Neurospora crassa OR74A: one gene and its partner. The protein of the gene in region 1 purifies or fractionates together with the protein of each later gene. This does not show direct contact. Links are inferred from orthologs where the notes say so. Each region holds a gene or a part of one and is shown on either strand. Other genes may lie near its edges. The genes, in order: ckb-2 and crf6-1.

Region 1 (4,153 bases):
CGTGCTGTCACTTCTCTCATCGTTCAAGCAGTACTTGGACATTGTGGTGCAGTGTACCCGCAAGACGGAAGTGCGTTCCTGGCGTACTCTGTTCGCCTATCTCCCTCCACCTCAGGAGCTGTTTGAGGAGAGCTTGCAGCGTGGGAGCCTCAAGACTGCTGGCGGCTACTTACTCATCCTCCATACCTTTGACGAACTCGCAACAGCAAGCGAGCAGAGTGTGCGTCTCTTAAGCAGAGCAATGCGCGAGGGCGACTGGGAGCTATGCAAAGAGCTGGCGCGGTTTTTAGCAGCGCTCGATGAAACGGGGGACACGCTGCGTGAAGCAATGGAGCTGGCCAAGATGCGAGTGAAGCAGGAAAGTGAGCTGGAGGATGGCCATGGCAGCGTAGGCAGCGGGCTGGGCACAATGCTTGGAGTTCCTCAGGGTGGTGGTGCTAACGGTGCTTCCAGCACTACCAGCTCATTGATTTCCAATACCAAGGGGATCATAGGTAGTGACTGGGATGCTGACAGGCGCACAATCAGCGACGCCGGCAGCGTTGTCAGTGCTAATCGGTACGAAGGTTAATGAAGTGGATGGAAATTGGAAAGCGGATAGTTGGTTGTAGGATTGTTGGATATCCATAGCCGTGGCGCTCACGATCCTACCAGAACGTCACTTTATGATGAAGCGGGGGTCTTGAGCTCTAGACACATGCTGTAGGGCAACACAGATGTTATAGAAGCCGGGATGTTTCAAGATAATCTAGAACAGCTATAATCACAGGCGACTGGCGTTCTTATCCCCCATTTTTATTTATTTATATATATTTTTTTTGGGTTTTCCGTCTCCAACAATATACCTGCTCAAAAATAAGGCACAAACTGTAGCACTGAACGTCATGACGCCCAATAGAATACCTACCTTAATGACAGAGTACATGCTTCCATCCCCAGTACCTGTGAACGTACAATTAAAGTCATACGCTGGGCCGTTGGGCTGACTGAAGGCCGACGAAAGGTACCCGCCCGCTACCTACCTACCTACCTAGGTAGGTACTTAGGTAGTCAGATGGTCGATTTTGCAGACCTGATAACCTACCTCTGTGTAGTGCCCTGGGTAGGTCGGGACTGCTGATAAACAGACTGCGATGAGCCAGGGGCGGGGGGGCACTGCAACCTGCCCTGCGGGGACCACTGCAACGGCGATGAACCCCCCACCAAAAAAAAAAGTCCCTTGTCATGGACTGTCAGCCTGTTTGGCTCCCGGTCTAGAGTCCAGACCCCCTCGCCTGCCCTGCCGTTGCCCTGCACCAGGGACGGCTTTGAACCCTCTTCCACCTGAACTCCCATCAAACCGTCGCAAAAAAGCATCACAATCCTCTCCAACGTCTTGTCGTCATTGTGCCTTGTGCCAGCTCAATCTCATCCGACTCGGACCTCCCACTCCCCATCTACGGCCCGGCGCGCATTAGTTCGGCCCAACAAAAGGTTCAAACGCCGTACTTGACCCCGGCACCCGGGATTTTGGCCTCGTTGATGCGAAGCGCCAGCCGACGGTCGTTCGCGCCCACTTTCCTCCCACCACCACCTTCCTCCCTTCCTTTTATGCGCCGAGTATAGACGTGGTGTCGCCGGCCATGGATGACTTTGTGAGCGAGTCTGAGAGCGACTATGCCAGCTATTGGCGCGACTGGGTATGCTTCTCTTGCAATTGTTGTTATTGTTTACTACAGTAAAGGTTCCCCAATCATGCTGACATTTGCGCGTCCGCCTGCAGTTTATTTCCTCGCGAGGCAATGAGTACTTTTGCGAAATTGACGAGGACTACATCACTGATAGGTTCAATCTAACTGGTCTCAACACTGAGGTCCAGTACTACCAATATGCTCTCGATCTCATCACCGATGTCTTCGACCTCGACTGCGATGACGACATGCGGGAAACAATAGAGAAGTCTGCTAGGCACCTGTACGGTCTTGTCCATGCTCGATACATTGTCACAACGCGGGGTCTTCAAAAAATGGTCAGTAATCAACTCTCAGCATTCCATCTTCATCCAGCGTCTCCTCGTCTTCATCCGTGACTAACGCACTTCCCACCAACAGTTCGAAAAGTACAAAAAAGCCGACTTTGGCAAGTGCCCGCGCGTCATGTGTTCCTCGCACCCTCTGCTGCCCATGGGTCTCTCGGACGTGCCCAACTCCAAGCCGGTGAAGCTGTACTGCGCGCGTTGCGAGGATATTTACAACCCCAAGTCGTCGCGCCACGCCGCCATTGACGGCGCCTACTTCGGCACCTCGTTCCACAACATCTTCTTTCAGGTATACCCGACCCTGGTGCCCGCCAAGAGCGTCGAGCGCTACATTCCGCGCTGCTACGGCTTCAAGGTGCACGCCGCTGCCGCTCTGGTGCGCTGGCAGAACAGCCAGCGGGACGAGATGCGTAGGCGGCTGAGGAAGCTCGAGGTCGAGAGCGGGTTCAAGGACGCCGAGGACGAGGCTGAGCTTGACGATGATGACGAGGAGGAGGAGGAGGAAGAGGAGGAAGAGGAGGAGCTGGCTGCTATGGATGAGGCTGAAGGTGCCCAACAGCAACATGCGGCGGCGGCGGCAGGTACAGCAACGGGAGGCGTTGCTGCCGGCGGTGAAGGCGTTCATTAGAAAGGGCCTGCTGCTACTGGTGGAGAAGCGGATGAAGAGTATTGGAATTCAGAAGCCACGATTGGAGCCGCCGACGAAGCTGACGATGAAGCTGAGCTACCAAACGAGCCAAACGAGCCGAACCATTGGTTGACACCTCTCATGTCTGCTGCTGCAAGGCTGCGACGGAGTCTCAGGCTAGGGGAGGACTATGAAGAGCAGGCTGAAGTGGAGTTCGATGAGTGGATGGAACAGGCGAGGTACGGGATCTTTTGACTTTTGAGGTGGTGGAATGCATATACCATACAGTATCGAGTAACAAAGTATGAGTACAGGTGCCTCTCTTCTCTTTGTTTTTTTGTTTCTATTCCCGCACCCCATAAGCCTCTACACAGCGGACGTCGGGATCGATGCGAATAAGGGAGAGAGAGCCATTGATAGAGTGTTTATGTTCTTTGGTCTAGCTATACGTCTTTTCGGTTCTTACCAGACGATTTCTTCTCACCTTGCCGGCTTTGCTTCTCTTCGTCTGTGCTGAACTGCACCCTTCTCTGTTTCAAGCCTCCTAAAAACCAATCGTCAAATCGACGGGAAGTTGAACTTAACGCTTGAAAGGCAGTCTCTTGGAGCGTGAAAATTCAAAACGACCAGACCATATATCCAAGCGTCTACTGAGGAAAGATTCACAAGCGGTGTCATGCGGCAACACGAACCTTTCAAATACATGAACTGTTACCACAGCATAAACACGTTGATTAATGCCGAAGACCAGTGTGCTCAAACTTCCCTTGAAGAGTTACCAGGTAGATATGTGTACATATGGATAGGTTCCTCATTTCCCTATCTCAAAACGCCTCCTGAACATAAGAGAGACTGTACCAAAACCCATGTTGGTGACATAAAACCATTTGTTGTTCCTCATATTTCCTCGTTTAGAGAAATAATCGCTTTTGTCATCAAGCCCACCCATCCGGGCCAAGTCCCTACTTCCGGAAAATGCACCTTGACTCTTCTGATCCGACAATGCGTCGAAATTTGCCTTTCATATCTGATCGTCATTTACCCGTCTCTGTAAGCTGTGTCAACCTGTTCTCATTGATCAACGTCAAGCGACGGTGGTTTCCTCCCCGTGATGATCCCACCGGGCTGGTCCGGTCCCACATTGCTTTCCAAACCGGTGCCATTGGCCCGTACCACGGGGTGCCCATAGCTGCTGCCGTGATCTAAAGAATCCGGACTCAGCGCCTCCTCCTCGTCTCCCGCGCGATAATACTCGCCGACGTTGTGATCAGTTGAGTAGCTGTAACTGCCGACACCTGCCCAGAACGCCTTGTCGCGACTGCGCGGACCCCAAGCCCACCCAGCACCTTGCGAAATGGGCAGATGGTAGTAGCGGAACGAGAAGAAGGCACAGATCAAGCCGATGAGGTAGCCGAACAGGATGTCGAAGCCGTGGTGGCGGAAGTCGAACCAGCGCGAACTGGCGATAAAGATGGACGCGAACCACGGGATGATACAGATCAGCAGCA
Region 2 (4,372 bases), about 930 kb from region 1:
GTTTCCTGCGCCCCGGCCGGGCAGTGACTCACAACCAATCTACTCTGATAGCAGTCTATTCCACATGTTGTCGAGGCAGAAATGACATCGGCATCAAGACGTTGAAGATAGTTGCCGACAGAGGTCAATGTTGGCAGTCAAGGAAGGCTGGTGGCCCCAGCAGCACGGGATCGTGTGGATCCATCGTCCTGGACGGATCTGCTCCAGCTGCGCCAGGGAAGCGGTGCCTCTACCATACCCACTTGGACATACTCATAATCTGAAGGGAGTTTAGGACTGGTATTTCTTTGGTCGGATAGGCATGAGACGAGGATAAAATCTTTGATTAGGTATATCTGTTTCTCTTTGACACTTTTGGAGGCTCTCGGATTACGTTTGTGGAATGGGTTAAATAGAGGTGGCCCCGCACAATCACCTACAAGATGTTGTCGTCCTGACTGCCTGCCTGGGTTTGCCTGCGTCGGCTCGCAGTAGGTTCTCTTCGAGCCGGAGCTCCAGTGGCGGGAAATCATCCAAATCACCTTGGTGCCGGTGCTCGCGGTGTACCAAGTTGAAGTGAAGCACCAGGAGAGACCAGTGCATGGCTGGCACCTGCACCGGAGCTGACAAAGAAAACCCCTTCGACGCCAGCATGCCTACCTAGAAAAACCGGGCGACGTCCACGTACCGGGAGTATTCTCAGCTTGTCGTCCATCTTCCATCTTTCCCACCTTGTTGATTCCCAAGTCGCACCGGTACACAGTCGATGTGCCATCAACCGACAACAACACTTCTCTGAATCATTTGTTGTTATATCAACCACATTCCATCCTTGAACTTCTTCCAGTGTTGTATAACCTGATAGCTGAGCGGTCATAACCATACATACCTCCAAGCAATTGAATCGGGAATCGCCCGCTCTCGCCTGCCTCACACCGCCCACGCCGTCTGGAAGGGTACGATCGGAGTGGGCAACCAACGAGCTGGCAAGCTCCAGCAATGATATCCGACCAGGCTCGAGCCGCGTTGGGTTTGTGTCCTGTTATTCGTTCTTTCCAAACCCAAACTTACAAGAAACATTGATCTTACAGATCTTCGTCACACAACTGAAATTCGTGCGTTGTGAGCAAAACGGGCAAGGATCGTGACAGCGCCCATCGGACTGGATTAGGCAAGTGTGCTTCCTCCTGGCGCTACCATCCAGTGAAAGAGAACATCATTGAAGTGGTCAGATCACAAGACACGCGTTACATTTCGGTTTCGGTAATTACGGAGCTGGAACCTTTATGTGGCGGTCCCACACTTGAGTTCGGAGGTTGCTTCCAACGAAACTGACCAATCAGAAAGTGGGACTGAGCAAGCATTGAGTTGAGGGCAAGCGGGCCTCGTCTGAAGCACAAGCCAGGCAGTGGCCCACTGGTGTTGCTGGTTCTGGTTCACCATTTTCATGGATTCTTCTCCTCCGTCCATCACTGCGATTTTCCGCTACACCATCACCACTGCCAGCCCCCTCCCAGGGTCTCCGGCCTTGACCATTTCCCCCACCACCACTCCTCCCACGGCACCGCGATTGTGAATCTCGGGCTTGAAGATTCACTCTGCAGTCTGCTGCCTGGAGGCTCTTAATTCTTCCATGACTTGTGAGTCCAGCCACTGCCGCCCACTGCCCACTGCCCACTGCCCACTGCGTGCCCTGCCCTGCGTATTCGCCTTGCATTTTCCCCATCATTTCGCCCATCGAAGCGGGCCTCGTCGCCCTTGATATCCATCGTCTACCAGCTTGTAGAGGTCGCCAGACCGTCGATTCTTGATGAATATCGCCTCTACAGCTGCCCTAGACCATGGCCTGCTCTCCCGTGCCCTCAGGGCGCCCACACGCGACTGCAATCGCCGTCGCCGTCCGCCTCATCATCCACAGCCTTGCCTCCATCACTTACACGCGAGCCAATGCGACAATCATCATTGAGGGTCGTCCGCTACCCCGATACCGGATTTCTCTGATGATTCCGGGTCGCAAGAGTGGCCTCTTTCCATCGCCCCAAGTAGTGATTCGTAAATGACGCGTACCGCTGGCTGACATCGTCGTCTTACAGCAGGCAGCCTCCGCGTCTAAGTCTCAAAATGTCGACATCTCCCGAATCCGGTCCGGTGTTCGGGCATGTGTCACCGCCGGCGGATGACAGCCACTTCAACTTTACCAACGATACCGAAAGCACGAGCGACCTTTCAGACGTTAATGCCGCCGAGGCCGACCCAAATGACGACGCCGACGCCCAGTCGTATCAGCCTGCCGACGAGGCTGTCTCGCCGATACAAAAACCCGAGTTGACGTTCGAGGAAGCGTCCGATTCAGCAAGTGATAACGACGCGTCAGATGACGGAGACTTTGACGCCCCCGATAGCCCCAGGTCTGCTCAGAGCAACGAAGTCGTGTCTGCCTCGTCGTCCCGTACCGTCGTGAAGCGCAAAGTCGCCCACGCGACCGAGGATGATTACATCAGAGAGAATCCTGCCCTGTATGGGTTGAGGAGGAGTGTACGAATATCCCGCATTCTTGTTGTGTTATACCATGCTAACGACCTACAACAGTCACGCCCTACACAACGCCGTGCGCAGATCGTAAGTGGATCAAGATGAGCTCTCGTCGTTACGCCTCTCCTAACTGAGTAAACAGATCGACTCAGATGAAGAAGATGAACCATCCGAATCGGATGCCACACCGGTGTCTAGAAAGCCTGCGAAGAGACGTCGGGTTGAACGCTCGTTGCCTGGTAAGTTTTCATCCGTCATACTCCTCGGCATTTTGTTTCACTGCTGACTTGTCGTGATTTCCAGCTTCCAAGCGTGGCACTCCTGCTCGCCAACCCTCAATCGATGATTCCGACTCGGACACATATGGAGGCGCCAAAGCCCGCAGCTTCCAAAGAAAGGTCCGCAGGCAACAAGAACAGGACCCTGCCTTGGCTTTTAGCGAAAAGAGATGGTCTAGCCGTCGGGCCGCCCAGGTCTCAGCCGGTGCCTACCAAGAAAGTGACGCCGAAGAAGATGAAGAGGACGACTCCGAGCTTACCCCCAACTACTGGTCTGCCAATGTCGAGGATAACTCGCCATACATCGAGAAAATCCTCGGTCATCGTCCTAAGGAGGGTGTCGAGGTCACGGTGGATTCTACGCGACACGACTTTGAATACTTCATCAAGTGGCAGGGACAATCATATCCCCACAACACCTGGGAAACTACGGAAACTGTCGCAGGCTTCCGAGGCTTTCGCCGCCTCGAAAACTATTACAAGAAGGTTGTTGAGTACGAACTGGAGATGCAATTCGGTGGCGACGATATCAGTCCGGAGCAGAAAGAGCAGTGGTACCTGGATAGAGAACGTGAGCAAGAGGCCCTCGAAGACTACACAAAGGTCGAGCGCGTTGTGGCTGTCAGAGACGGTGATGAGGGCACCGAGTATTACATCAAGTGGAAGGGCCTGCAATACGACGAGTGCACCTGGGAAGCCGAGTCTCTCGTGGCCGAACTTGCTCAGGACAAGATTAACCAGTTCCTCGACCGATGCAACCGGTCATGGCAGTCTGACCGCAAGCAAACTAACCCCGATACCCGGTCGAGGATGACCAAACTGGAGAAGCAGCCTGACTATATCAAGGGCGGCGAGCTTCGCGAGTTCCAAATGAAAGGCCTTAACTTCCTTGCTCTCAACTGGGTAAGGGGCAACAACGTCATCTTAGCCGATGAAATGGGTCTGGGAAAGACTGTCCAAAGCGTCTCGTTCCTCAGCTGGTTACGGAATGAACGCGGCCAGGAAGGACCGTTCCTTGTCGTCGCTCCTCTTAGCGTCATCCCCGCTTGGTGCGATACATTTAATCATTGGGCTCCGGATCTCAATTACGTCGTTTACCTGGGCCCGGAGGCAGCTCGGTCCAACATTCGAGATTACGAACTTTTTGTGGATGGTAACCCAAAGAAGACCAAGTTCAATGTCTTAGTCACTTCCTATGACTACATCTTGGCCGATGCGGATCATCTCAAGAACATCAAATGGCAAGTTCTCGCTGTTGACGAGGCCCACCGTCTCAAGAACCGAGAGTCACAGCTCTACATCAAGCTCAACAACTTCGGCGTTCCTTGCAAGGTCCTCATTACCGGCACACCCATTCAGAACAATCTGGCCGAACTCTCAGCCCTCCTCGACTTCCTTAACCCCGGAAAGGTCGTCATTGATGAGGAGCTTGAAGCGTTGTCTACCGCAGATAACAAAGGTCCCACTGATGAAGAACAGGATGAGGCTAGGCGTATCAGGACCCAAGAGAAGCTCCGCGAGTTGCATCAGTCAATCGCTCCTTTCATTTTGCGTCGCACCAAGGAGACGGTCGAGTCGGACCT

What was found.
Region 2: the proteins of ckb-2 (region 1) and crf6-1 purify together in Saccharomyces cerevisiae (affinity purification with mass spectrometry; 5 studies listed by BioGRID). This does not show direct contact. The link is inferred for Neurospora crassa OR74A from reciprocal best matches to the Saccharomyces cerevisiae genes CKB2 and CHD1.

What each region holds. Positions count from the first base shown.
Region 1 is NC_026501.1:3,448,692-3,452,844, forward strand, and holds ckb-2 (casein kinase II subunit beta-2), read left to right. Parts: upstream 1-1,248; 5' UTR 1,249-1,622; coding exon 1,623-1,679; intron 1,680-1,762; coding exon 1,763-2,008; intron 2,009-2,090; coding exon 2,091-2,645; 3' UTR 2,646-3,386; downstream 3,387-4,153. Other genes in the region: NCU11228 (DUF1339 domain-containing protein), read left to right, coding at 1-571; NCU02755 (PAP2 domain-containing protein), read right to left, coding at 3,717-4,153. UniProt on the Saccharomyces cerevisiae protein: Regulatory subunit of casein kinase II/CK2.
Region 2 is NC_026501.1:4,381,219-4,385,590, reverse strand, and holds the start of crf6-1 (chromodomain helicase, variant), read left to right. Parts: upstream 1-1,451; 5' UTR 1,452-1,619; intron 1,620-1,749; exon of another isoform or gene 1,750-2,072; 5' UTR 2,073-2,100; coding exon 2,101-2,514; intron 2,515-2,568; coding exon 2,569-2,598; intron 2,599-2,653; coding exon 2,654-2,750; intron 2,751-2,814; coding exon 2,815-4,372. UniProt on the Saccharomyces cerevisiae protein: ATP-dependent chromatin-remodeling factor which functions as substrate recognition component of the transcription regulatory histone acetylation (HAT) complexes SAGA and SLIK. It recognizes H3K4me.